4 linked regions of the Pelodiscus sinensis genome follow. Each later gene encodes a partner of the first gene's protein in a complex. Links are inferred from orthologs where the notes say so. Each region holds a gene or a part of one and is shown on either strand. Other genes may lie near its edges.

Region 1 (6,892 bases):
AAAACCAACAAGGGCCTGTAGTCACATGACGTGTGGCTGAAAAAAGGCTACTCCAAAAATTCTACAATCTCTCTACAAAAGGGTGGTTAGACTCCTCAGTCTGGTGTAACCCGTATGTGGGTTACAATGTTTTAGCAATGTCATAACAATGAAGATTCTGTTGAAAGGCTGAGGCAAGGAAAACTGACTAGCTCTTGCCTATGTGAGCTTTCCCAACCTACATAATTTTGCAGAGAAGTGCAAAACTAGGCCAGTTATTTGAATAGATGCTGAGATGTATATGGAGACGTCTCACCTTCATTCAAAGTATTTCTGAATTGTTCAAAAGGGGATTAAAGTGATTTCTGAACTTTATAAAGCAACAAATTTCTTCAAAACAACTCTGCATCAGCATTGAGTGGTTTGCTCCAGTTACTGAAACACTCCAAAGGTCTGTTCTTACCTTGCTTCGTTTCATGAAATTGTATCTCAACCTAGACATTTTAGCATTTTTCTTTTTAAAAATGATCTTGAAATGTTTAAGATTCATATGCTATTAGTCTAGCTTTCGAAATTTTAATAAAATGACTACAGCATGCAGTGCATACATTTTATTTTAGAAGTTGATTGCTCCGTTTTAGCTGTATATTACTAAATACGTAGAGTGCAAAGATCTTTGCAGAATCATTTAATCACTGGTGACATTAAAAGACTTTACTAAGCTAGGATTTTTTTTAAAATACAGGTTAGATGGAAACCTTTTCAAAAGCACAAACGGCCATGAGGCCAATTAACTGCCACGGAGACAATAGGAGTGAAGTGCATAACCACCATTCATGCTTTTGAAAAATCTCTGCCACAGAGTCTGAGAACACTGCATCACTGCTACATGTCTGATTTGTACAGAAAAGCTGTACACAGGCATAACTGCCAACACACCTCTGCAAACTCCTTTTAAAGTGGCTTTTCAGTGTTAGCTATATTCCAGCATCGTGGCACACAGAAAAACCCCACGCACACAGTATGAAAAAGGAGGTTACTAATCCCATTGAGAGTCCCTTCTCTAATCATTTTGCAACTCCAACAAAGGAGCAAACCTCCAAGGAAGAAGACCTATAACCACAAACAGCCAATCAAAAAATTTTCTGTGCACACAAAGGACATGAACCACAGGGCCTCACACCATACACAGCTGAAAAACAAGTTAAGCAATACACACATTGCTTATAGGATTCTTATGGTTGTCTCCCCTTAGGAAACCAGAAATCTTAGCTTAACATTTCCCACATAAAGCAAAAACTCACTAGTCGGTGTGCTTCTGAGTAGATCAATACATACACCAAAGCTATTTTGTCTCTCAAATAGAAAGACAACTTTGCAAAGCAACTGATTATGAATGATCAGATAATCCACATTCCACCCCAATCAATACAAGATGGTACTTCATTTTATTCTTAAACTCATTTGAAATGACTGCTTTCACTTGGGAGTCTACTACAAATTAACAGACTTCATTATTCAGCAAGTTTTCTCCAAGAAATCTTTAATATTTCCTTGCTTCCTTGTATCTTCATGTGCTTCATTGCACCTCTATGAACCAGCCTTCAATAAGGTTCACAAAAGCCATATAGAACATAGCACTTAGTTTGTAGCCCCAAAATATGTATCTGTTCAAAGAACAACATTGGAAAAAAGCCCAACAAGTCAGAGATCTCCAATACGAACGAAAGGATTGCATCAGACCCAAGGGCCATGTAGCCCGGCATTCTTCTGTCTTCTGACAGTGGCCAGTGCCAGGTGCCCCAGAGGGAGTGAACAGAACAGGGAATCATAAAAAAATCCCTCTCCTATTACCCAGTTCCTGCCTCTGACAAAGAGGCTAGGGCAGGGGTCTCCAACCTTTTTAAGCAAGAGGTCACTTTTCGAATGTAAGTGCAATCCAGGACCTACCTCAGACCCTATTTGTTCCACGTCCTTCGTGCCCCTTCTCTGCGGCCCTACCCCTGCTCACTCCGTCTTCCCTACCGCCTCCCTTCCACAGGGCAGGGGCAGAGGATTAGGACACTGGTTCTGGTCTTGGGCTAAATAAGGGATTTAGAGCGTGAGGGGCTCAGGGCTGAGCTGGCGTAGGAGATTGCGGTGCAAGGGGGGGGTCAGGGTAAGGCTCTGTAAAGGAGTGTGGACCCAGCCCTGGGGGGGAAGGGCTGGTTCGCGCAGGCCCCCCCCCCAGCCGTGTCCCCCAGCCCCGGGGGGAAGGGGGGTTGGTTCGGGGGGGGCTGGTCCGCGCAGGGCCCTCCCCCCCCAGCCGTGTCCCCCAGCCCTGGGGGGAAGGGGGGTTGGTTCGGGGGGGGCTGGTCCGCGCAGGGCCCTCCCCCCCCAGCCGTGTCCCCCAGTCCCGGGGGAGGGGGGGCTGGTCCGCGCGGGGCCCTCCCCCCCCAGCCGTGTCCCCCAGCCCCGGGGGAGGGGGGGCTGGTCCGCGCGGGGCCCTCCCCCCCCAGCCGTGTCCCCCAGCACCGGGGGAGGGGGGGCTGGTCCGCGCGGGGCCCTCCCCCCCCAGCCGTGTCCCCCAGCCCCGGGGGGAGGGCTGGTCCGCGCGGGGCCCCCCCCAGCCGTGTCCCCCAGCCCCGGGGGGGGTCTGGCCCGCGCGGGGCCCCCCAGCCGTGTCCCCCAGCCCCGGGGGAAGGGCGGTTGGTTCGGGGGGGGGGTCTGTCCCGCGCGGGGCCCCCCCAGCCGTGTCCCCCAGCCCCGGGGGAAGGGCGGTTGGTTCGGGGGGGGGGGGGGGTCTGTCCCGCGCGGGTCGGTCGCGGCGCGCCCCGGCCCCGGCTCACCGAGCAGCAGCAGCTTCACCTCCTTGGCCGCCTTCTCGCCGTCCTCGCGCAGGTTGCGGTCGATCATCTTGCTCCGCTCCACCGCCGCCTTGTCCTCGGCGCTCAGCGTGCAGCCCATGGCGGGGCCGGGCCGGGCTGCGCCGCTCGCTCTCCTCAGCCAGGCGGCCCGAGCGCGGCTGGCTGGGGCGGGGCCGGATATCCGCTCCGGGGCCTCCGCCCGCCCGCCGGGAGCGCGGCGCACCCTGGGAAATGCAGTTCGCCCCGCCCCCTCCCCGCCGCGAGCGAGCGTTGCATGCTGGGAGATGCAGTCCAGTCGCTGAGCCCGCCCCCGTCGCGTTGCATTTCGGGACTTGTAGTCTTATGTAGTCTGCTGGTGGAGGCACGGTCTGCGCATGAGGGACGCTGTGCATGGCGCTGGACAGGACCGCATGGGGCTGCCCTCCCCCGTGGGCTGGTGTCTCTCGTGGGACTAGGTGTCCACTGTATTTACCTGTGCTACTCAGTGGGGTCCATGTGCACCCCCAGCCCTCATGGGCATCACCCACCGCCAGCGCCTAGCTAGGTGCCCGGGCATGGCTCAGGCGACCCTTTGGTGCCGGGACACGGAGAACTCTCCGGTGGCTCTGTGCTGCATTCCCCTCCCAGCTGGAACAGGGCTAGATTCAGCTCCCAAGTCCCTGCTGCTTGAGCTAAGAGCAAGTTGCTCTTGGCTGCATGGAGCTTGGCAAATAGCATGGCAGCCTGGAGTCCAGCCCGCAGACGGCAGCATGCAGCGTACCTCACTCCAGGACATGCACCCAGCGAAGCTCATCACAATGGTGACACCACCGTAAAACGCAGCGGTGCCTGCACGAATCATGGGCTCTTCATTGTAGCAGAAAAGGGTCTAACGCCAGCCGGCGGCTGGAAGTTGTAGACAATTCAAAGGGGAAAGAAGGTACAAATTCTAACTGTGAGAGTAATTAACCAGCGGAACAAGTTACCAAGGACCAGCATAGGTGCTCCTGTCCCTGGCCATTTTGCTATTTCTTCTAAAACATTTGCTCTAGGAATTGGTATGGAGCGGGTCTCTGCCCTTACACAGGAGGTCAGATGAGAAAATCACAGTCTCTGTGGCTACGTCTACACTGGCATGATTTTCCGGAAATGCTTTTAACGGAAAAGTTTTCCGTTAAAATCATTTTCGGAAAAAAGCGTCGAGATTGGCAGGATGCTTTTCCGCAAAAGCACTTTTTGCGGAAAAGCGTCCGTGGCCAATCTAGACGTGCTTTTGCGTAAAAAAGCCCCGATCGCCATTTTAGCCATCGGGGCTTTTTTGCGCAAAACAGTACTGTGCTGTCTACACTGGCCCTCTTGCGCAAATGATTTGCACAAGAGGGCTTTTGCCCGAACGGGAGCAGCACAGTATTTCCGCAAGAAGCACTGATTTCTTACATGAGATCGTCAGTGTTCTTGCGGAAATTCAAGTGGCCAGTGTAGACAGCTGGCAAGTTTTTCCGCAAAAGCAGATGATTTTGCTGAAAAACTTGCCAGTCTATACACAGCCTGTGATTCTCTGCTACATAGCTGGCAAGTAGCCCTATCACCTAAGGTACCCAAATACTGAGCAGAGGCCAACATGAGCCAGAGACTCACCACAGAGTAAGGCTCTGAGCTACCAAACATCAGCTGCTGCTTGTTCCCTGTGCTCTCCACGTTTCCCTTTGGAGTGTGTGATGGGGATATACAAACCTCACACTGGTAAGTAAGGGGCTAAAGAGGCAGCGGCTAGTCCCAGATGGCCTCATCCCAAAGGGGACAGGATTAGTGCTGGACAGCTGAGTAGGCAGTGGAGGTGAACTGACCTCCATCATGGAATGGAGCACACCAGGGGCCCTGCTGCTGCCTAAGACTCTGGTTGTAGAGACTTTGCCAGACATGGGGAGAGCCAACAGGTCGGAGACTTCCCCTTTGATTTCAGTTCTTTGATGGCTACTGGGAAAGGGAACTGGTGAGAAAGCAACCCAGGGAGGCAGCAACAGAGTAGCACTTTAGGTACAGAACGTAGCTGCCTCCCTGGATTGGACCCTGCTGAAGAGGGATCCTGGGATCCCCTGCCAACTCCCACCAGAGATGGAAGAATCTGGGCAAGGGGAGATCCAGAAGCCCATTCCCTGGCCTAGCCGATAGTGATACCCCAACAGGAGTGTAGATGCCCTGAGAAGGGAGGGCAGAAAGCAGTGACCAAGCTGGCCTGGGCACAAGAAGAGCAGACTGCCGCAGGGCTAGCACAGCTGTCCCCGGAGCTGGTGCAAGTCTAGCAGCCCTGCTAGGCCTCTGCCTGATCACGAGGGCTGGGGCCCAGCCTCCCAGGAGCACCAGGGACTGAGGGTACATTGGCTGCTATGCAGGGCCCCATTTGTGGCCATCTAGCAAAGATCCTCTTGGGGACCCATCACGGCCAGATCTGTACTGACAGTGAAGAGAGAGCAGGCTGCGAATGCATCTGGGGGAAGAGGACCACTCCCATGCTGCAGATGTTACATCTTTTGGGATCTATTTGGAGCCTGGTTAACCGCTCTCAGCATAGGGACCCTCGACACCCCGGCAATTGCAGGGCATGCTCCTCTCCCACGGTGCCTTAGCCACGTCTTTGCCTGAACCTAACTCCAGAGGAGAGTTCAGTCCCTGTTCAGTCCTGGCAGCTGTGCTGAGGTTGCCACTCATCCGTGTCATGCCCAGGGCTCCTTTTGTGATGAAGATGCTTGTGTGTGGGGAGCCAGTCTGAGACCCGCCAAACTCATCGCTCCAGGGGAACGAACCAGCCTGTGATGGCAGCACCTCTGAGTTACCGGGTTGCCAGGTGTCCGGTATGGAACCGCACAGCCCGGCATTTGCGCCTTCCGTCCTGTCAAAAAAGTCAGAAAATACCGAACATCTAAAATGTCTGGACAGAAGGCCACTCGGGACATGCTCTGCTGCTCGCGCTGGTTGGGATCTAAAGAGGCTGAGACTGCATTTCAGCCCTGGCTTTTTTTTTGCTCATCAACTTTTTCCTTTATTTTCTGAACAGAATTTTTTCCCAGCATTTTTTTTGGGGGGGAGGGGAGCTTTGGTATTTTTTGTGAAACCATCTGGCAACCCTACTGAGTTAGGGTACGTCTAAACTACATGGCTCCGATTTGTTTGTTCAGCAAAGGGAAATGAAGCCGCGATTTAAATAATGAGGCATAATGGGGAGGTCGATAAAGGGCTTTCAGGTCGGTGCGGGAGCATCCAGACTAGCGCGCTGAGCTGACAAACAGCTGATCAGCTGTTTGTCGGCTCAGCGCGGCAGCCATTTAAATTTAAATGATTATTTAAATTGCGGCTTCATTTCCCTTTGCTGATCAGCCTAATCTACATGGCGCCATCGATGGAGCCATGTAGTTTAGACACACCCTTAGGGATGTTAAAGATCAGTTAATTGAATAGTCGAGTAACTTCATTACTTCTTATTGGTAAGTCGACTATTGGGTAGTCTCTGGGGGCGGGGCCTGCAGCCGCTGTATCAGAGGCAGCAGCACATAGCGCCAGGCAGGAGCTGGTCCATGAGGGGAACCAGTTTAAAAACTAGCTCCCCTTGTGCCTGTTGCCCAGTGCTGCTGCCTCAGATAAAGAGGTAGCAGCTCAGGCTGACAGCCTCTGTCTAAGGAGGGTCTGAGCTCCCTGACCCGGTGCAAGCTGGAACTGAGCGGGCTGCCTGCCTGGCTCCTAATATACTTGAAATGCAGAGCTACAGCAGGGGTAGGTCCTGGACCCAGCATGATCCAGAATTGAGTTGGGCGGCTGGCCAGCCTGCTAAAAAATTGACTGGCAAGGGTGGGGGGAGGGAAATGTGTGTAGTCTACAGCATCAACCTCTACGCTTTTGCTTCTCGATTAATTGGTTAATCGACTTCGCTCTGACATCCCTGTCCTGAGTCCCTGCATCTTGGGCAGAACAGCTCTTCATTCCCCACCCCGGATCCACTGCTCCCCCAGCAAGGAGCACAAGAGCCCGCCCTGGAGGCCTGTGCCCCCCATCCAGGGGGGCAAGAACATCTCCTTCTTCCCCAGCCCTGACAT
Region 2 (6,863 bases), on another chromosome or scaffold:
ATGGACCTTTGGTCTGACCCAGGACGGCCATTGTAAGCTCAGGGCTCAGGGTCGGGGGTCTCACTGGACCCCCTTGATTCTCTTGCACACCTGCTCCTGGGTGGCCAGGCTGGCAGCTATCCTGACCTAGCCGGCCACTTTCCTGTGCCTAGTGCGGAGGTCGTGGTCCACGATGTCCGCACTAGCCCAGGCGGTTACCCGCCTCTTGCGGTCTCGGGCAAGCTCCCGGGAGCCGCCAGCCTGGTCCCGGGAAGAGGGGGAGGGCTGGGGGGCATCAGTTGGGTGGCTCGATCCGTGCCAGGTGCAGGGTCTGCTGGCTGGGTGCTGGCAGGCTTGCACCTGGCATGGGCACCGTAGCCAGCCCGTGGCCCTTTAAGGGGTCCGGGGCCGGGAGGGGGGCATAGAGTTTCCCTGGTGCTGGCCAGAGTGGCCACCAGGGAAAGCTGGGGAGGGCTAGCCTCCCACTAGTTCGAATTAAGGGTCTACACAGCCCTTAATTCGAACTAGTAAATTCGAACTAGGCTTAATCCTCGTGGAATGAGGATTACCTAGTTCGAACTAAGCGCTCCGTTAGTTCGAATTAAGTTCGAACTAACGGAGCGCTAGTGTAGCGCCTATGAAAGTTAGTTCGAACTTTGTAGTGTAGACATACCCTATCTGAACAGAGCTAGGGTACCATGGAAAGAGAAGGATAGGCAGGTGACAGCACCTAGCTAATTCTTAGCTGCCCAGCCCTGGCATGAATTAAAAATACACAGTGGCGGCTTTAATTTATGTTGTTAGCAATGGGTACCTCAGGGAGGCAAGGGATCAGCCACAAGAAAGCCTCTCTCAGCCACACTCACCCTATTCTCCCCAAACTTGCCCCTCCTACTCTTTTGGAAGGTATTAGAGCTGGTGTAAGAGGAATCAGAGTCTCTACATTAGAAGAAATTGCCTCTATATAGGGGAAATTCTCCAAGAGGAATCCCCACATAATGAAGCTCACTATGCGCAATATGAGTGAAGTAGGTAGTGCAAAATTGATTTAGCAGACCAGAAAATCTGACCCACAGACATTCTAGATTTTCTGAGACATTCACATTATTTGTATTATTCACCTTCTGTCAAGATTATTTGAGACAATTTTTGCAGCCTGTGTGATTTCTGTAAAATATATGACTGAATAGTTTTAATTTTAGTTAACTGTCTTAGTCCCACTAATTTTTCCACACACCTTCACCTTGAAAAAAATGTCTGAGTAGCACTGCTTACCAGTGACTTTTCTTTCACTAGGATGGATAAATGTATGAAATATTTTAGGGTAAAATTCACAGGTTTTACAATTCAGCCGTTAACGGAAGCTTTGCCTGCGTAAGGACAACAACATTGTGCAACAGATTGCTCTTTAATTTCTATTATCTCAGAGATGAAAGTAAGCTTGTGTGCCCTGGTGTGCTGCTCTGATAAGGAGGAGCTGTCTGGCTGGGGTACTTGGCTGCAGAAGGAGGCAGTGGATGCTCCCAGAACTGCTCTTGGGTCGTTGCTACAGGATGCTGCACTATGCACCAGCCAGTCAGGCAGGTGACCAGGGCTGGCTGGAGGCACCCCCTCCCCCATCACACCTCAGCCCTGAGACTCCCATTCCCTAGACGCCCTTTGAGGCCAGGGCTGTAGATCTCCCCCTCATATTCGCATGGGGCAGCTGCTGTCTGTTCCCCTTCCTTGCTATCAGCGAATGAGCAGAAAGTGCAGATTGCTGCGTCCCTCTCGATGTGGCTGGTCGGGGCAGAGCAGCCCTGCACTTTGGCCTTGCTCCCTGACAGGGCCAGGAAGGGGAAGAGCAAACAGCTTTAGCCACTCTGCCCTCCCTGTCCACGCCCCCTACACACACCCGAAACCCCTGCCCTGAGCCCCCCACATACATTTCCTACAGGTTCTGTTATATCACAACCCCCAGTGTCCGCCCAGGAGGGGGTGCAACACCAGGGCACTTGCAAGGAATTTAAGTTACTTTCACTCCTGGACACATTAGTCATTGGCCTTGCTGCCATCCCCCTTCCCAAAATGCTCTAAAGCTCCCATGCCCCAAAGCGCCCCAGGACAACGCTAGAGACCCCGGAAAACCCGAAACCACCGAATTTTGGGCTCCCACAATCTGTTCCTTCCAGCCATGCATTCCAGCGGGGCACTCACCACGGCGCACGGAGCCAGAGGCACCAGCCCCTCCCGTCTGGGTCTGGGCAAGCCCCTACGCTTCGCCCCGCGCGCCCCCCAGTCGCAGCACCCGGGTGAAAGCCTGCCAGGTCCCGCTAGGCGCACCAGCCTTCGGGGCCCGCGCTCGGAAAGCGGAGCAGGTGGGCGAAGTCCCGGACTGGGGCGAGCACCGCGCAGCCGGCGGCAGCAAAACCCGGCGCCCCCCCCGGGGGTGGGGTGGGGTGAGGGCGCAGGCGGCAGCAGAGCCAGGCTTAGCAGGGCTGCTGGCTCGCGCCGCGCTCCCCGGAGCCCCCTGGCGCCCCGACGCCCCGCTCCTCGGCCGCGCACCCCCCTGCCCGCCAGCCCGCGGCGCCGAGCCCGCGCTGACCTTGCGAGGAGCGGCTGGGCTCGCCCAGGCTCGGGTCCGGGCGCAGGGGGAGCGCGGCCCCCGGCGGGTCCCAGCCCACCCAGAGAGCCGGCGCGGCCCCTCTGTGAGGCACCCTCTGCCTGCAGCCAGGGGGTAGCAGCGCCCCGGGCTCCCCGCCCCTGCCCGGCTCGCTCACCTCCTGCCCCGCTCCGCCTGGGGGCCGGCTCGCTGCCTCGCCAGCTCCGGGTTCGCTGCCCGGCGGGAGGGGAGGCAGCGGCTCGCGCGCTGCGGCTGCGGAGATGCTCGGGCTGCGCCCGGATCCTACCCCTCCTCCGGCGCCGGCCAGGGCGGCAGCATCTCCCGCGGGTCCCCCAGCGGTAGCAGCGGCGCTTGCAGCCGCGCGGGAGCCAGCGGGAAGAGAAGCTGGGAAAGGCGCCGCTGGCCAGCTCCCGCTCTCCGCGCCCTTCCCCCCCGCAAGTGGGCAGGCGCCCAGGCACATGCTCCGCACATGGACAGGCGCCCGGAGATAGGTGGGTGGACTCCCACACAGGCGGGGTGCTGTGCCTATCTCCCCGTGTACAAATCAGTCACCCCCCAGCTCCTCACCCACACACAAAAGTTCAGAGAGGGAAATACACCCACTTCACAGATGTTGAGGTTTCTGTGCCTTTTGCTCCACTCATCTGAAGAAGTGGGTTGTACTCATGAGAGCTCACGATCCTGTATATATATTTGTTAAACTCTGAGCCCTGGTCTACACTAGGGAGGTATTTTGCGATAACTCCCCTTATTTTGAAATAAGAAGTGGAGTCCACGCTATCAAGCAGTGTTCGCTGTAAGCTAGGCACTTGGGTAGCCTCTCAGGAGAGATTCAGGTGCCATCTAGGGGTACGTCTAGACTACATGCCTCTGTCGCCAGAGGCATGTAGATTAGGCTACCCGGCATAGGAAAATGAAGCTGCGATTTAAATAATCGCCACTTCATTTAAATTTACATGGATGCCACGCTGAACCAATCAGCTGTTTGTCGGCTAGCGCGGTGGACGCCCGGGTGTCGACATCAAAGGCATTTGTTGACCACCCAGGTAAACCTCATCCCAGGAGGCATACCTGGGTGGTCGACAAATGCCTTTGATGTCTACACCCGCATGTCCAGACTACCTCGCTGAGCCGCCAAACAGCTGATCGGCTCAGGCGGCAGCTTTGTAAATGTAAATGAAGCCGCAATTATTTAAATCGCCGCTTCATTTTCCTACACCTGTTAGGCATGTAGTCTAGACGTACCCTAGCTGATTAGCAGAGCACCCACAGAGGTGTGTATTTCTACTGGTGGTGCACATCTGTATATGCCTTAGTGCACATAACAAAGTCTATTCCATCCATAGATGGAAAAAATTAGAGGGAACACTGCTACCAAGCCTGTTATTTTGAAATAAGTGGCTGGTTATTTCGAAATAATAATTCCTGCTTATCAGGAGGATTAATGCTTGTTTTAAAATAGTTATTTAGAAATAGTGGTAGTGTAGATGCTTCACTGCTGGTATTTTGAAATAACTACTCCCCTGAGTCATTCAAACTAATTACTCCGCAGTGCTTCTTTGGACTCTAAGTCGAGGTCACTCATCCGTATTAAGGATGCGTCTAGACAGCACCCTTCTTTTGGAATAAGCTACCCCATTTGTGCTATGCAAATGGTGTAGCTTATTCTGAGTCTAGGTTGAAAGAGCTTACTTTGAAATTTAGCGCTGTGTAGACAGTGCCAAATTTCAAAGTAAGGCATTATTCCAGCACTATTTTGGGAAATAGCAGGCGCATTTAAAGATGCAGTGTTGCTATTTCAGGATATTTCCGGTATCCTGAAATAGCGCCACAGTCTAGACATACCTTTAGGGAGCCTGCCACAGACTATTTTTGAGGCTTCCCTGTAGTGTGGACACACTATTTCAAAATTATTATTTCAGGAGTTATTATTTCAAAATAATTTCCTAATGTAGACATGCCCTAAGGTGTTACAGGACCATTTGTTGCATTTTAAGGGTTTTTTTAGTTACAGACTAACAGGGTTACCCCTCTGAAACCTACTACACAGGTGCACAGAAAGAGCATACACAAATATCAGTTACCACAGCACACCCATGCAACCATCCTATACTAGGAACGTACTGAATTCACATTCCAGGGGTAATATATGGGGATTCTGGCTCTGCATGTGTCACCAGCATTGACCCCATACCCACTTGAGAGAACATGAACTCAGAAGCAGTGCAACAGGGGGGCATCTCCCTCTCTAAGCCCCTGACTGGAGCCAGGTGGCATAACAGCAAAGCCCCTTCCCATCACCCACCCCCTTTTGCAGCCATTCTGGCACCACTTCTATAATAGTTTCCCAGACCCCATGACATTTATCAGTCACCCTTACAATGTCTGAGAATCTCTGGAACAAGGAATGTATCCACAAGGCATTCCTATGAGGTGGGGAAGTGTTATTTTCATTTTACATGAACTGAGGCAAAGTAGAGAATGGGGACTTGCCCCCAAGTGACAGGGAAACCTGTAATAGATGCAGGAATCATCCACATCACCTGAATCCTAGTTCACTGCTGTAACTACAAGACCCTGACTGAAGTTATTTGACATATAGTAAAAGAAAATATATATTAATATTAATAATATTCATATTAATATGATTAATAATGGGAAGTGTTAGTGGCATCATACCAGGCACTAGTGGGACCTCATCTGCAATACTGGGTGCAATTCTGGACTCACCATGTTGAAGAAAGATGAATTCAAACCGGAACAAGTGCAGAGAAGGGCTACTAGGATGATTTGAGGAAAGGCAAAACTACGATATGAGGGGAGACTCAAAGAGCTTGGCTTTTTTAGCCTAACTAAAAGAAGGCTGAGGAGAGGTATGATTGCTCTCTATAAATATATCAGAGGGATAAATACCAAGGAGGGAGAGGAGTCATTTAAGTGCCAATGTGGACAAAAGAACAATTGGATCTAAACTGGCCATTGACAAGTTTAGGCTTGAAAGATTAGACAAAGGTTTCTAACCATGGCTACGTCTAGACTGCAAGCCTCTTTCGAAAGAGGCTTTTTCGAAAGATACTTTCAAAAAAGCCTCTTTCGAAAAAGAGCATCTAGACTGCAAGCAGTACTTTCGAAAAAGCAAGCCACCTTTTCGAAAGAAAGCACCCAGGCAGTCTGGATGCTCTCTTTCGAAAAAGCCCTGTTTGCATTCAAGAACGCCTTTTTTCGAAAGAGCACTTTCGAAAAAAGGCATTCTTCCTCGTGAAATGAGGTTTTCCGCCATCGAAAGAAAAGCCGCGTTCTTTCGATTTAATTTCGAAAGAACGCGGCTGTAGTCTAGATGCAGGAGAAGTTTTTTCGAAAAAAGGCTACTTTTTTCGAAAAAACCCTTGAGTCTGGACACAGCCCATCAGAGCAGTGAAGTTCTGGAACAGGCTTCTGAAGGAAGCAGTGGGAGCAAAAAACCTAACTGGCTTCAAGACTGAGCTGATAAATGTATGGAGGAGATGCTATGATAAGAGTTTATATAATGGCACATGGCCCACCAATGACTTCTAGTAGCAAAAATCGCCAATGGCTAGAGACAGAACTTAAGATGTGGGCGGCAGGGGAGAGAAATCTGTGTTACAATAAAGAATTCTCTCTCAGGTGTATGGCTGCTTGGTCTTGCCCACATGCTCAGCATCTAACTGATCACCACATTTGAAGTCAGGAAGGAATAGTTTTTTTACCTTCCTTTTGCAGCATGGGGCATGGGACCCTTGCAGGCTTAAACTAGTTCAAATGGTGGATTCTGAGTAACTTAAAGTCTTTAAAGCATGATTTGAGGACTTCAGTAACTCTTCCAGAGGTTAGGGGTCTATTACAGGAGAGGGTGGATGAGGTTCTGTGGTCTGCAAAGTGCAGGTCAGACTAGATGATCACGATGCTCCCTACTGAGCTTAAAGTCTATAAGAAAATAACATCTATTTACCACTCTTGTATGCCACACATACAACTGAGGCAATTTAAGCTAATACTATGAATAGGTAATAGAGATACTACAAAACTGTTGAAGCTGAAGATTCTGGGTTTTATCCCTGCAGTTTAGCTGATGTTTCTGACAAAGTCGATCCCAGACCACAAAAGCTTATGCTCAAATAAATTTATTAATCTTTAAAATGCCAAAGGACTCTTGTTTTTGCAGAAACAGACTAACATGGCTAACTCTCGGAAATTAGCTGATGCTTGTGATAGTGTGTGTGTGTGTGTGTGTGTGTGTGTGTGTGTGTGTGTGTCCCCACAG
Region 3 (7,029 bases), on another chromosome or scaffold:
AACCTGAGAACTGGTATGTATACATTATTGTACCAAGGTGATATTTGGATGTTAATAATCAGTACTCAGGGATATAAATGCAGCTTGGCAACAAAATCTTAAAACATGAGCTCACAATGGATGTGATGAAAGCCTGGAAGTGGTCGTTAAAATTGAGTGCTCAGAGATAGCAGCAATGGGGGTTTTAAATAGAGGGATTTTTTACCTCTTTGGGAGCTTCTTTTTCAATGAAATCACTGTAGATTTTTTTAGCCTTGGATGTCAGCTTCTGAGGTGACTTGATTTTCTTGAAGTCTTCACAGGCCAGCCAGAAATCGATGTTCTCCTCACAGAACTCTGATTTTAAAAAAGCTCGAAATGCTGCAAGACCATCTGGAGAGAAAGAAAAGGAGGAAATATATGAACTGAAAACATTCCAAGAATCTTGCATTCAGCAATAGTCCACGTATTTTCCTACCAAAAATATACCTGCTCTGAGAGTTCCTATTTCTTTCAAAGGGCCAGGAACTTTAAACTGTCTATGTATTCATATAAAGAACATTATTAGGCATGAACAGTTTCCCAGGCTTCCTTTTAAAAAAAAAAAAAAAAAAAAAAAAAAAGAACTGAAGTTATTTTTGAAGGAAAAGTGCAAAAAATGAAAACCATATAAAAATGGCACACTTCCTTTAACATCCTGCTAGGTTTTAGAAGACAAAAACCAACCCCCTTCATTATACAGTTTCTCTCCAGATCTGAATTCTAGTATGTTAACCTTTAGACTGGAGTAAATATTTACAACAAAGCTATAAACCTTTGGAAGACATTTGCAATGGAAAGAGTGACTCAAAGTTCATTATCAGCAAATGCTAATATTTTTTTCTTAATCAGCAATTAAGTGGTTTTCTTTGCAGAGTGGCTATAAAACCCACAGAGCCTCAAGTCCACAGTGGCTTAATGTGAATATGTTTAATAGCACTAGAAGGAGGATTTGTCTTGGAGAGAATTATTAAGTGCAGAAAAATCTTTGATAAAGATTTTAGGAAGTGGGATTTTGGGTTGTTTAAAATAGAAGTGTTGGAGACCAATATCAAGGTGAATGCAGGAGGTTATTCAAAGGGTAATTTATAATACGGATGGAAAACCACTGTTTGTTCTTATCTGAGGTAGTGTTTATTATTACAAAAACCCACAAAGACCAAAACACCTTTATATTTTTACAGTGATTTGTTATTTTTTTTTCAGACTGACTTACATTTATTAGCTAGAAGTTCATCAAAAGCTTCTGACCAAAGCTGGGCTTCTTCAGGAGAAGGTCTATATAAAAGGATGGAGAGTATAGTTAGGTTGTTGAACAGCACATTTTTCTACTCCCTTGAATGCTAAAATATTTGAAATTCATTTGAGTGAAATCTGAATATTTAATTTACCTGATGTAAGAATGTTGCTTTCCTTTTTTGTTGGACTTGGTTTTTGTAGAAGTGGAAGAGTTTTGCAGGAAGTAGCTCAACCTTGTTTTCCAATCCTTAATGCTAGAGGAGAGAGGAAGAGAGGAAAATACATTAAAATGAGAGTTAACTGAAATTATACTTTCAGCTTTACACATTTTGACTAGAGATGGAACTGAGCCTGTAATCCATAAAGAGAATGAAAAATTGCTCTTGTAGTTGATGGTAGTTGTGCCTGCTTAATTGTGGGATCAACCCTCAACTCTTTAAGTTCTATTTCAAGAACATGGGATTCAATCTTTCTGTCTCAGACAACCGTAGTTTCCCCACTGCACTGATGGAGCACTTGAGATCACACAGCCACTGGAAAGTGACTAATTATAACTAAGGCATCTGTAACAGTTTCACAATCAGAGGTGTGCTGCTCTGACGAAGGACCTACGCTCTTCCCCTAAGGCCCAATCCTGTGGTCTGTCCTCAGTGGGTGTTTTAGCAGATTGAAAACTTGGGATGGGGGCCTCTGGTGCTCAGATATTTAACCCTCTTCATTTGGAGATTTAATCTCTTCTTGTTGGATTTTTGGAAGAGACAAAAACTGGATCTGCGAGATTTAAAAATGTCTTTTCAGTGCGGCAGCTAGTCTAGTTTAGGGCCATGTGGTGAATGTGGATCAGGTGAGACTAAACTCCACAAGAACTGCAGCACAATTGTCTCCATTAGCCTCTATGTGAAACTGGGAATTGAAGACTAATTTATCCCTTACATTTTAAATATCATGTCTTATCCAGGCAATGCAAACTGAATATTCATTATAGATCTAATAATGTAAGATATTCAAGATCTGTTTTTGCTTTGGCAAGAAGCAAACTCAGTTAAATTTTAAAAGTCAAATGACAGAACCATTTAAAGACACCAATCAAATGTAAAATTGCACAGCTAGCTGGGTAAATAATGAATGGGGGAAATATGTGCTTACATTTTCACCACACAAGCATAAACTGAAATAAACCATTTCTGCACAAACCCTACATTTTTTCTGAACTGACGATGACAGTTATATTTTTTATCAAATGATCAGTTCAACAAAAACAGGATTTTTTTTTCTCATGAGTGCTTTTGAAGTGGAGATATTTTGCCATTTTAAAAATCCAAGCTGACATCAAATACATAAATCAACCCATTCTTGCACTGCTTAGGTATTGCACCCAAAGTCATTTTTAAAAAGTCAGTGCTGTCAGATTCTTACCAAATAGTGTAAACATTTTCTCCTTACTGAGATGCAAGCTCCCTATTTTGAATCACTGTTCTGAAAGCCACAGGTAGCTATTTATATGAATTAAATCTGCTATAAATACATAAACTTACACAGTTCTCTTCATCTTTCCTTTCTTCTCCTCATTTTGACAGCTGCTGGGAGTTCTCTCCATTTGTCCACAGTTGTGCTGAAGAGCAAGGAAGATTGCACTTTGCATACTTCTTCTGTTTTATCCCAGGGTCTATCGCTGATCTGCAGCAGCACCCTTTTCTTCACTGAGAAGTTGAACGTGAAGAGAAAGGCAGCCTTTTTTTATAGAAGGCAGTAGGGGAAAGGGTTGGGTTTCGGTTACGCCTCCTGAGCACACTGATTTGCTTGTGGGAAGCACACCAAAGCACACTCCCATATCACGTCCTTAAAAGGCTCTTACTCTGAGTACAGTGCTGACGCAGTGTTCTCTTCTGTTTTATGCAGTCTCCACTTGCAAAAAAACCTGGTCTGGTTGCTGCAGATTCCAGCAAGATGGAGAATTTTTTTTATTTGTTGCCTGCTGCATGTGTCTTCACAAAGCTTGAGTGCCCTGCACATTTGAAGGCAGAAGTGCAGAATCACTTGTTGGTTTATAATCCAACATGGAAAGAAAAACAATAGGAATAGCGTTAAGGGTCCTAGCTGTGCTCTTTAAAAATTTACCCTTACCTCCTATCCTTCTAAAGGAAAATATACCTTGAATTTCTATTTGTGGATTAATATGTTAACAATATAATAATGCTAACAAAATAAGATGTGTTATTGCACTCTCCAGAATCTTCAAGTAATCTGGAATTGTCCCAACTGTTCTACAATTGATTTAAAAAATGCTAACTAAGATAAGCAATGTCTCATATTTCTCATCAGCTTATGTTTGTGTCTGGGAAGGAGAGGATATACCAGGATCACTGCTGAATCATCTGTATTCCTAACATTATTCAGTTGGAACTAAAAGATTACTGTACCCCTGATGCAAAAAGTTTTGCACTTGGAAATGTTTGTACAATTGGTATTTGTTCTCATGCTAATACTGCCTGGAAGTTCTTTATGGAATCCCAGTGGCTTGGCAGAGGTAGCGGCTAATTTTCTGTAGTACTGAGTGAAGGTTAGGTGACAGCGTTATGTTCAGTTCAACACATTAGAAATTCATTTTTAACAAGCCCATATGCTAAAACTGTTTTTGCTTTCCAAGAAGCCAGTTCTTTTGAGTTTGCATCTTATTAAAAGAATAGAGAAGGGTTCTAAGGCCTGGTTCAGATACCCTTACAAAAGAAAGATGTGAAAAGTTGGAGTGTACAATACATGGGAGATTTTATCTCAGTGATAACTTGAAATATTTTTTTCATACTCATAAGCATGACAAAACATATATGTGTAAGCCGTGCCTGCATACTGTGGCACTCTGTCCCCCACTAGTAGCGTCAAGGCCAACTACAGCTTGATGAGCCTGCTATAGCCTTGGCTCACAAACCTGGAATTTTTAGTTCACGCAGTAGAGGGCCAGGCTCTGGTATTAAGATCCAGAGGTCTCAGCTTCCACTAGCATAGGAATGAGTGCCATACATACATAGCAAGCCTTGCTTCCATATATTTTCGTAACTCAGCCATTTGCCAATAAATTGTGCATATTAGTGCTAGTGCATGTACTCATTTATCTGAATGCCTCTTCCTTTAGCTAAAATGTAAGCATGTATGTGGTACCTTCTGCACTGTGTTAAGCAGTAGAGGGTGTCCTGCTAGTATTTTTCCCCTCTACCAACATATAACACTTCTCAAATTGTAATGCTCCATACCTATGATTAATGCAGCATGCCTCCTGCCATCTATGATATTGTTTATGTCACCAGTCACTCTAATGCACAGATGGAGAATATAGTTTAGCATGCAAACCAGGGATGGATTAACTCTTCTGGGAGCCTGGGGCCATTAGATTTTGTGGGGCCCCCTAAGCTCTGGGGTGGAGCAAAAAAAAGGAAGGGGCTGTGGATTGAGGCAGAAAATTGGATGTGGGAGGGGGTGAGAGTTCTGACTGGGAGTGCAGGCTACATGATGGGGTTGCTGATGAGGCATTTGGGATGCAGGACGGGACTCCAGGCTGGGCTTAAGGGGTTTCGAGTGCAGGATGGTACTCAGGGCAGGAGGTGGAGGTGCAGGGTTTGTGAGAGTGTTAGGGTGGAGGAGGGGGCTGAGTGCAGGAGGGTGGGATTGGAGCTCAGGGTCTGGGTAGGAATTAGGGTGCAGGAGGGGGCTCAGGGATGGGGCAAGGGGGGGGGGAGTGTGCAGCCTGGGCAGGAGTTAGGGTGTGGGAAGGGTCTCAGGGCTGGGGCAGGTGGTGGGAGTGCAGGGTCTGGATGGGATTTAGTGTGGGGGAAGGGGCTCAAGGCAGGAGGTGAGATGCAGGTTCTGGGAGGGAGTTTGGATGTAGGATAGGGCTGGAGCTGGGGCAGGGCTATGGGGTGTGGGATCTAGATGGGAGTTAGGGTACGGGAGCTAGCTCAAGGCTGGGGCAGAGTCTTGATGTGTGGAGTCTCAGAGCCAGTTTGTGTGATGGACGGGGGCTCAGAACTGGGGCAGAATCTGAGTGGGATTTAGGGGGCGGGAGGAAGCTCAGGGCTGGGGTAGGGAGTTAGGGGGCTAGTCACTTACCTCTGGCAGATCCCCTTTGGCAGAGATGACCATGGGTAGGGACAGAAGGGGAGGGAGCAGATAGCTCTGCACACTGGCCTGTCCTTGCCTACAAACACTGCCCCCTGCAACTCCCATGGGCCACAATTCTGGGGGCTGAGGACAGAACCTGGAGGCGAGAGACATGCACATCCCGAGCTTCTGGCGTTTGCAGCTCTAGGGGGCAGGGGAGGCATGGTAGCACATGGACCTTCATTCCCTCCTCCTCCCGCTAGGCAGGGCTGGATAGCACACAGGGGCTTTAGTGGCTGCTAAGGGGACCAGCAAAAAGATCTTCACTTTTGGTGGCCTGGAGATCTTTTTGTGGGGCCCCCTTTAGTCCAGGGCCATGGGCTGCAGCCCCTACAGTGCCCTTTCTTAATTCGGCCCTGATGCAAATATGTAACTCACTCTATTTAAAAGCTTAATATGACCTCAAGAGAGTCTAAGGACCATTTTGCATAGCTTCGAGCTTAAAAACAAAATATCAGTATTTTTGTTTTAACACATATTGGGTACGTCTAAACTAGCCCCCTAATTCGAACTAGAGAGGCTAATGAGGGTGACCGAAATTGCAAATGAAGCGCGGGATTTAAATATCCTGCACTTCATTAGCATGTTTCTGGGTGGTCGCCATTTTGGAAATTGACTAGCCCGGAGTAACTGCCTGCGTCTACACACGGCAGTGAAATGGGAGTTCGAAGTAAACCCCTTAACTCAAATTAGCTACTAAACTTCATTCCACAAGGAGTAACAGCTAATTTGAGTTAGGGGTTTACTTCCAACTCCCGTTTCACTGCCGTGTGTAGACGCGGGCAGTTATCCGGGCTATTCAATTTCCAAAATGGCGATCGCCCGGGAACATGCTAATGAAACGTGGGATATTTAAATCCCATGCTTCATTTGCAATTTTGGTCACCCTCATTAGCCTCCCTAGTTCGAACTAGGGGACTAGTGTAGACGTACCCATTGTTATCTTTAAATTCATGTTAGTTCATCTATAATACAGTCTATATATTTCTATGTTAATCTATATAGTTAAGGCAGTGTTTTGACATAATTTAAAAAAATGTCCTATCCTATTTCCAGTTTGCATCATTTTTGCATCACTATTTGTTCTCCCTTCACAACCCCATAGTTTGGAAGTTGAACAGGTGATAAGAATCTTGCTTAACAGGCACTTCCATTTTCAAAGTTAATTGGGGGAAAAAAGCAATAATGAAGTTTACAATAAAAACAAGACAAAATGCATGATTCATGCTGAGATTTTCCATATATCAATCGACAGCCAACTGCTGTTTGGCAGATGCCTAGGAATAACCGAGCTGTTCCCTGCATGCCTCTTCCATGATTCTGAGGAGTGCTTTTTCATGAGTGGAGCAAACATCACAAGGTTCATCGGTTTGATTTGGATAAGACCCCAAATTGTAAATGCTTAACCAAAGTTTATCTTAATTAAGAGGTTGGTGTTCACTGAGACAGAAGAAGCCTCCAACATGAACTACTTTGACCCTTGGAATGGGTTATAATTGGAATAAGGCCTAGGGCAGTTTCAAGTCTGTTCTTGTTTTAAACCAAACTGGTTTGTCCACCCTTAATCAATGGGGTATGTTGCCATATGCAGATGATGCACTAGTAGTTCAGAGTTTTGCA
Region 4 (6,873 bases), about 4.0 Mb from region 1:
GGCCCTGCACAAAAGGCAGTGGGCCCACCCAACGCAGGTGCCACTCCCTGCTCCAACCCTGAGCCTCTTCTTTCTCCTCTTCTCCCTCTTTCCCCTCACTCTCCCAGGTTCTTTCCCCAGTTACATTCACCCCGATTAAAAAAACCGGTGTTTCTTGTTCCAAAACAAAAAGTGCAGTTTATTGTTTCTGCAGAGGAGGGCAGGGAGTGGGAGAGGGGAGAAGGGAAGGGAGAGGTGTGGGCGGAACGGCGAAGAGGGGCAACGTCCAGGCCCCTTGTGGGGAGGCCCAGGGGAGGGTGTCACTGGGAGAAACTCTCCCTCAAGGACTTGCCACCCTGGACAATGGAGGACTGACCAGTGCCCTCTGCTGAACCACCGACTCCATTCCCTACATGCCCAGGCTTTCCCGGGGGTCCCTCATCCGGCCCCGGCCCGCGTGGGAGATGGCCCCCCTAGCTATAGGGCAGGGGCTGTATTTTGAATCCATTTCATCCCTCCCCTTTCTCCTCTCTTCTCACGCCCAGCAGCACTGCCTCCTCCCAGACACCCCGCTCTGCTCAGGGTCCGGAGGTGCGCTAAGACGAGTTGCCCCAATAGCGTAGCCCCGGGGCACCAGGGGAGCAAGCGTTCACCGAGGGACACCAAACCCCCAAAGCATGTTCCATGGCGGACGGAAGGCCGGGCGTTGCTCGGCCAGTCGTCCCCGGCCACCGCGAAGGAGATGCTGCAAGCCTGTTGCAGAGCCTCATTCTGGGTGACGAGGGAAGGACCACGGGACTAGGTCCGCAGGAGACAAGGTAACAAGGGGAACCGTGCTCTGCACCACAACCCTGGCTCCAGGTCTCTTCGCAACCTGGTGCGTGTGGTCACTGCCCTCTAGTGGAGGCAATGAGAACAGCTCAACTGTGTGTCACAGGGCCAGTACCACCTTTTGGGATTCATTTTCAACTTGCATTCAGGGAGTCTTGCAAAGGAGAGGCCCCACATCAGGAGGGCTGGAATTAGAGGTACCGGGGGGGCAGCAGCATGCTCTGGCCTGAAGTGGTTTCCAGCATACTCAGGGTCTGGTTCTTTGGCTCTCCAAACAATGTGCGTAATGGGGGTGCAAAGGCCCCTACCCCAGACAGTAGAAGAGGCAAATGTCTGCTGCTTCTACAGCCCACATCTAATAAGCATCTCAATGGCCTTGCTGTATTTTTCCCCCCTGAAGAGCCCAGCACTGCTATTAACCCCGTGGCACAGATGGGAAACTGAGGCACAGAGCCACTAAGTGATTTGCCACATGTAGGGGGCGCTGGCTCCTGATCTCCCAAAGCCCAACCAGTAAAGCAGCCTTTGAGCACCCTTGTTGCCTATTTTGCGGGCAGAGGAGGCTGTGACGCAGACGTGCCCAGGCTCACACCACGCACAAGCGGCTGAGCTGGCAATAGAACGCAGGGGCCCTAAGGTCTCCGCCCTAAGGCTGTTCCTTCTGCCTCTAAAACCGACGGCCTCACATAAACCAGGTAAAGCACCTCCCCACCGTGAAAGAAGTTACTCCCTGCTTGGAGCAGGCATCTTCCTCCTGCTGGTGAGGAACCTTTCCCGCGGGAAATCCCTTCCATCCCCGTCACCCACCCGCATATGGCAGCAGCATGCACGAGCCTCTCTGCCACAAAGACACACCTCCCCTTGCCCTCTGTGGAGCACCACAATCCAAGGCACCTGCAGGAGAGAACTCAGGGACCGGAGGGGAAGCCCCTTTAACTCAAGGCATCGTTGCAGGGTGTGGCTGGCAGAACTCAAATCCCCTGGAGAGAGGGGGTACTTTGAACACCAGCAGACAGCTTGCACTTCCCTCCCGCCCACCCTCTTGGCCTCCCCTGCCTGAGAGGGAGCAGTTAGTACATTCCATTATCGATAAAACGGTTGCTGGTGGGTTATTTAGCTGCTACAGCAAGGAGGCGGCATCAGTCACCCCAGGTGTGCTTTTCCCTCATCCCAAAACAGAGGGAAGGTGTGAGAGGACCCCCCAGGGTAGGGTGAGGGACCGTGAGCCGGGGGCGTTACCTTGAAGAGGCGCAGGATGTTGGCCACCATGATGGAGACGGAGCTGCCGGAGGCACCGATGACCCCCACCACGCGCTCCGGCTTGGTGATGATGGGGGGCCCGCCGTTGATGCACCGCACCTCAGTGCTGTCCTTCTCAATCAAGGCCTGGACGAAGGTCAGCGACTGCTCCAAGGCGTGGGTGTCCCGGGAGCAGGTGTCCAGGATGCGTGCGCCCAGGGTGATGTTTGGGAGCAGGTCAGGGTCGTTGTTGATGCGATCCAGGGCGAAGAGCATAGCCTCCAGCCGGTGAATGCCCTTCTCTTTCTTCAGCTCACCGCAGGCCTTGCCCTCGGCCCCCCGGCCGTGCACCGGGAAGAGGCCTCCCAAAGTGATGTCCCCGTCAATGCGGATGGAGTTCATGTGCGGATGCCCCTGGCCCTTCGGTTTAGCCGAGCCAGCTGGGTTCCACCAGCAGCTGCAAGCACTCAGGAGTAGGCAGACGGAGAGCTGCTCCATGCAAAAAGATCCCCGGCTCTTCCCAGGCATCGCCAATGACTCGCCGAAACCCCGACACAGCCTAGAGAGCCATGCGGCACTGAGCCCCTGTCGCTTCCCTGGCTCCGCAGCCCAGCACTGAGCTCACCAAGGAAGGAGCGTGGGGGTGGGGTGGGTAACTTCTCAGACAGCCAAGGAAGAGGCGACAGCGTGTCCGGCTGCAGCCTTTCCAAGGGGACGCAGCATAGTTTCCTTCCCCACTCTAGGTCACCTTCCCATCAGCAGCTCTGGTCTCCGCCAGCATCCATCTTGCAGCAGATAGCCAAGCCCAGGAGGTTTCTAGGGTGGGCTGGTTTTTTACCAGGTCCTTTGCCCAGCCCTTTGGAGGATCCCGTCTGGCTCTGGGCTTTGCATAACTTTACATTCAGGAGAAGAGGGTGGGAAAAAAACCAAACCAACCCAAACCCTCTGCTCCTGTCTCCACAAGCCTTGAAAAGAGAGAGAAAGAGAAAGACCATTAAACAGAGGCATAAAGAGGGTATCAGCTACCCAGATCTTTCATCTGGAGCTCAACAGGCATAAACGCTAGACCCTAGCTCCCAGCCGGTGCAACCCACAGTGTCTTTTTACATGGGGGAAACTGAGGCATAAAGCCATGAAGCTGAATTATGGTTATACAGATGGGTGTAAGTCTCCTCCCACCCCAGCCACATGCTTTAACTACTAGGAAACACATCCTCCTTGCTGTCAGGGCTGATGCTGCCTGCATTACACCCATGTTAACGGGGGTCCTCCATGCTGTGGGATCATAGGGTCAGCTCCAGGAGATAATAACCAACCTGAACCTCTCCCTCCACCAATTGGGATGGCATTCGTCCTCTGACTGGCCTTCTGGGCCAGCCACCACCTCTCCAGAGCCAGCCCTTTTCCTCCAGTCACGTGTCTCTCCAGCTCAAGGCTACTCAGACCTAGGAGAAGCATTGCATGCTGGGAGTGGTAGTTCTTGCTAACTGGGCCTCCACTTGGTCACAGCTGCCTCATAGGAAATCTGATCCTGCTGCTTATTGAAGGGCTCTGGTGAGGAGCAGGGAAGCAGAAGAAAAGGACCAGGATCGATGTATGGAAGACCCCTGAGCCCTGAGAGAGACATGTCTGTCTGCACAGAAAGCGCCTCCCTCCCTCCCCCAGGAGAAGTTGTTAGTCACAACCGAACACAAACCCTAGGGCACAACCTTCTGTTCCCTCCTTCCTCCAGCAACTCGACAAAGTGTGTGAACGCTGCCCCCTTCCACAGCAGATCTCTCCAAGCTCCTCCATTCTAATCGCAACTGGGTAAACAACAAAGGAGAGAAACCCTCCAAGTATCTATTAGAAAATAAAGTCACCCAAAATTACAAGACCTGAAGCACTGCTTTACTAGAAGACCTATGCAGCGTTCCTCTGGTCCTTCGGGGCAGGGCTTGGAGGTGTGGGGGGCTCAAGACAGGAGGCTAGAGGTGTGGAGGTGCAGGAGTCAGGATTGGGGAGTGAGGAGGAGTTCATGGCAGCGGGTGGGGGCAGCCGCTGGCTGCTCCCTGATGCTGGGGTGTTTGCTGCCCCCCTGTGGTCATTCATGAGTATAACTGTCCCTCCTATCATACTTCTCCCTTTCCATTTGATGAGAAACAATCCCATTCAAGGCACATCTCGCTGTCCTGGCATAACCAAACACTGACCTTGCTTTAAGTTATGATAAAAGGAGGTGCCTACCAAATTTGGTGGTCCTAGCTCTTACCGTTTAGGGGGAGTTACAGGACCGCTTGGGAATAGTGACCATAATATAATAACATTTAACATTCCTGTGGTGGGAAGAACACCTCAGCAGTCCAGCATCCTGGCATTTAATTTCAAAAAGGGGAATTACACAAAAATGAGGAGGTTAGTTAAACAGAAATTAAAAGGCACGGTGACTAGAGCCAAATCCCTGCAAGCTGCATGGAAACTTTTTAAAGACACCATAATAGAGGCCCAACTTAAATGTATACCCCAAATTAAAAAACATAGCAAGAGACCTAAAAAAGAGTTACCGTGGCTTAACCACCATGTAAAAGAAGCAGTGAGGGACAAAAAGGTATCTTTTAAGAAGTGGAAGTCCAATCCTAGTGAGATAAATAGAAAGGAATATAAACACTGTCAAATCAAGTGTAAAAATGTAATAAGAAAAGCAAAAAAAGATTTTGAGGAACAGCTAGCCATAAACTCAAAAAGAAATAACAGAATGTTTATTAAGTACATTAGAAGCAGGAAGCCTGCTAAAAAACCTGTGGGTCCCCTAGATGATCGAGATAGAAAAGGAGGAATCAAGGGCTATAAAGCCATTGCGGAGAAACTAAATGATTTCTTTGCTTCAGTCTTTACTGGGATGGGTTCCCTAGGAAGGTGTTGGAATCTCCATCCTTAGAGGTTTTTAAGTCTTGGCTTGACAAAGCCCTGGCTGGGTTGATTTAGTTGGGATCGGTCCTGCCTTTGGCAGGGGGCTGGACTTGATGACTTCCTGAGGTCTCTTCCAGCCCTAGGGTTCTATGACTCTATAAATGCCTTCTAATTACACAGCCCATCACCGTGACTCCATCACAAATAGGATCCATAATTATGTAGCATCTCTGCACCTAGCTATTAAAAAGGGGGTGGGGCAATCCAATCATAGACTTCAGGGAATACTCTGGAACTGAAGCGCCTGCCTATATCACACTGCCTATCCTCAGCATTCAAAAATCTTTTATCACCCCATGAGATTTTAAAATACAACAGATCTGAGGTTTTCATTGGCCTTTAGTCTTTTGAGTTATTAGACTTCCGGTTTTGAGTTTTTCTCCACAATCCACAGGGCTAGAAACTATTTTATTTTCCATGTAAACTAAGATTAGCATGTAATAACATGATTCAAGGAGCTAACGTGTCCAGGTATTTAAGAAAACACCAAAAATTTGCCAATGTGCAACAATGCTCCACACATTCCCATGTATCTCATGGCACAGCTGGCCAGGTGTGTTCTGAACACCATTCACATTCCTTGAAAGCATTAGGTGTTGGCAGTGTCTTAGAGTCGAGTATTGGCAATGCAAAAAAGAACTGGCCTTAGCTATGATGATAATTCCACTTGCTCTTCTATCTCCTTTGTGAGGTTTTGGAGGCTGCTTCACATTGAAAAGCTGCCAGGACAGAACCTGCCTGCAACTAAGCAAAGCATCTGGCTTGCAAGGAACATCTGGCGAGAACTGGCTGCACCCAAAAGGGCGTGAGCATTTGGGAGGGTTCACTAGGGCTGGAATTTGGAGATGGAGTCACTGCCAAGGAGCTTCCCCAAGGAGTCAAGCAACTCCTGGTGGTGCTGAGCACCTCAGCAATCATTAAAATCAACAGGGGCTGCAGATGCTAAGCACCTTGTATGTTTGAACCCCCAAGGAGCAAGAGATGCCCCATAAGGCTGCCATGAGCTCACCAATTCAGCCTGTCCAAAGCAGTAATGGGACAGCCAGTCTTGAGGACTGACACGGGGTCAGTTCTAGTCTCCGCCACAGATTCTCTCTGTGCCCTAGGGCAAGTCACTTAATCTCTGTACCCCCTTCTGTAAAGTGGGGTAATAACACTGTTTTCTTCCCACCCTGCTCTATTTAACCCCATAGGTTAAATAGATAAATAAACTGTTAACTGTCTCACATTTTGCCCACATACAGCACAATGAGGCTTCTAGGAGCTATTGAGATACAAGCAACAGAGACAGTCCTACCCTACCACAAGCTGCTTTGCCTGTGACTCCAGGGGAATCATCTTTCTGGGGCCTGCAAACCTGCACTTCCCCTGTCTCCAACCAGCCACGTCAATGTGTCTCCGATTCATTTCCATGCTAACTGCATGTAGAGGGAAATTTGTATCTGTACTCTCAAATTTCCTCTGTAAAGTGACACTGCGCTGGCAAACCGGCATGAGAGTGTGAAATTATCCAGGATGCTGCTCTGCCTGAACAGTGTTTTTTTGTCAGTGTATTTTTCAGGAAAGCAGAATTCCCCGAGACTCCCTTCACACATATATGCCCCTTACCCGAGCTTAGATTTCCCCTGGGCTGGACTCATTCCTTCATGCCTGAACCACACACATAAAAATATTGTACCAACTTCTGATCACACGCTCTGTCCCCTGGTCATTAACCATTTCTCACATGCATTGCTCCCACAGGAGCTGGATCTCAGGGCTTTTGCTTCCTGGTAGTTTTCTATAAGATGTAGGAGCTTGTACCATTCTTAGAGAGAGAGCTGGGTAAGCAAGCTGACCCATGCTACTCCCTAGCAGTTGTGCTTTCGGGACAAG

The links. The genes of interacting proteins can lie anywhere in the genome.
Region 2: the proteins of GNAI3 (region 1) and extracellular calcium-sensing receptor are in contact, whole or in part, in a cryo-EM structure (PDB 8SZH), measured with the Homo sapiens proteins. The link is inferred for Pelodiscus sinensis from reciprocal best matches to the Homo sapiens genes GNAI3 and CASR. Residues at the interface, in NP_006487.1 of Homo sapiens: Ala31, Lys32, Gln304, Glu308, Lys314, Asp315, Thr316, Lys317, Glu318, Ile319, Tyr320, Thr321, Phe334, Asp337, Ala338, Thr340, Asp341, Ile343, Ile344, Lys345, Asn347, Leu348, Glu350, Cys351, Gly352, Leu353, Tyr354; in NP_000379.3 of Homo sapiens: Lys644, Ala645, Asn647, Arg701, Val702, Val705, Phe706, Ala708, Lys709, Pro711, Thr712, Arg716, Trp719, Phe801, Ile869, Val872, Arg873, Thr876, Ala877, Ala880, Phe881, Lys882, Val883, Ala884, Ala885, Arg886.
Region 3: the proteins of GNAI3 (region 1) and RGS2 are in contact, whole or in part, in a crystal structure (PDB 2V4Z), measured with the Homo sapiens proteins. The link is inferred for Pelodiscus sinensis from reciprocal best matches to the Homo sapiens genes GNAI3 and RGS2. Residues at the interface, in NP_006487.1 of Homo sapiens: Val179, Lys180, Thr181, Thr182, Gly183, Ile184, Val185, Gln204, Ser206, Glu207, Lys209, Lys210, His213, Ala235, Glu236, Asp237, Glu238; in NP_002914.1 of Homo sapiens: Glu104, Phe105, Glu108, Asn109, Glu143, Ala144, Pro145, Glu147, Ile148, Asn149, Asp151, Phe152, Leu180, Asn183, Ser185, Arg188.
Region 4: the proteins of GNAI3 (region 1) and GRM4 are in contact, whole or in part, in a cryo-EM structure (PDB 8JD6), measured with the Homo sapiens proteins. The link is inferred for Pelodiscus sinensis from reciprocal best matches to the Homo sapiens genes GNAI3 and GRM4. Residues at the interface, in NP_006487.1 of Homo sapiens: Ala31, Lys32, Val34, Lys192, Asp193, Leu194, Thr219, Phe336, Thr340, Ile343, Ile344, Asn347, Leu348, Cys351, Gly352, Leu353, Tyr354; in NP_000832.1 of Homo sapiens: Pro616, Lys619, Ala620, Gly622, Arg623, Glu624, Arg676, Ile677, Ile680, Phe681, Gln683, Gly684, Lys685, Arg686, Ser687, Val688, Ser689, Ala690, Ile694, Ser695, Pro696, Phe781.

What each region holds. Positions count from the first base shown.
Region 1 is NC_134737.1:15,366,673-15,373,564, forward strand, and holds the start of GNAI3 (guanine nucleotide-binding protein G(i) subunit alpha-3), read right to left. Parts: upstream 3,007-6,892; 5' UTR 2,926-3,006; coding exon 2,808-2,925; intron 1-2,807. UniProt on the Homo sapiens protein: Heterotrimeric guanine nucleotide-binding proteins (G proteins) function as transducers downstream of G protein-coupled receptors (GPCRs) in numerous signaling cascades.
Region 2 is NC_134711.1:139,643,432-139,650,294, forward strand, and holds the start of extracellular calcium-sensing receptor, read right to left. Parts: upstream 3,009-6,863; 5' UTR 2,739-3,008; intron 2,712-2,738; exon of another isoform or gene 2,564-2,711; intron 2,361-2,563; exon of another isoform or gene 2,176-2,360; intron 1-2,175. UniProt on the Homo sapiens protein: G-protein-coupled receptor that senses changes in the extracellular concentration of calcium ions and plays a key role in maintaining calcium homeostasis.
Region 3 is NC_134719.1:50,074,513-50,081,541, forward strand, and holds the start of RGS2 (regulator of G-protein signaling 2), read right to left. Parts: upstream 3,009-7,029; 5' UTR 2,900-3,008; coding exon 2,793-2,899; intron 1,512-2,792; coding exon 1,410-1,511; intron 1,297-1,409; coding exon 1,235-1,296; intron 373-1,234; coding exon 206-372; intron 1-205. UniProt on the Homo sapiens protein: Regulates G protein-coupled receptor signaling cascades. Inhibits signal transduction by increasing the GTPase activity of G protein alpha subunits, thereby driving them into their inactive GDP-bound form.
Region 4 is NC_134737.1:11,322,584-11,329,456, forward strand, and holds the start of GRM4 (metabotropic glutamate receptor 4), read right to left. Parts: upstream 3,009-6,873; 5' UTR 2,578-3,008; coding exon 2,050-2,577; intron 1-2,049.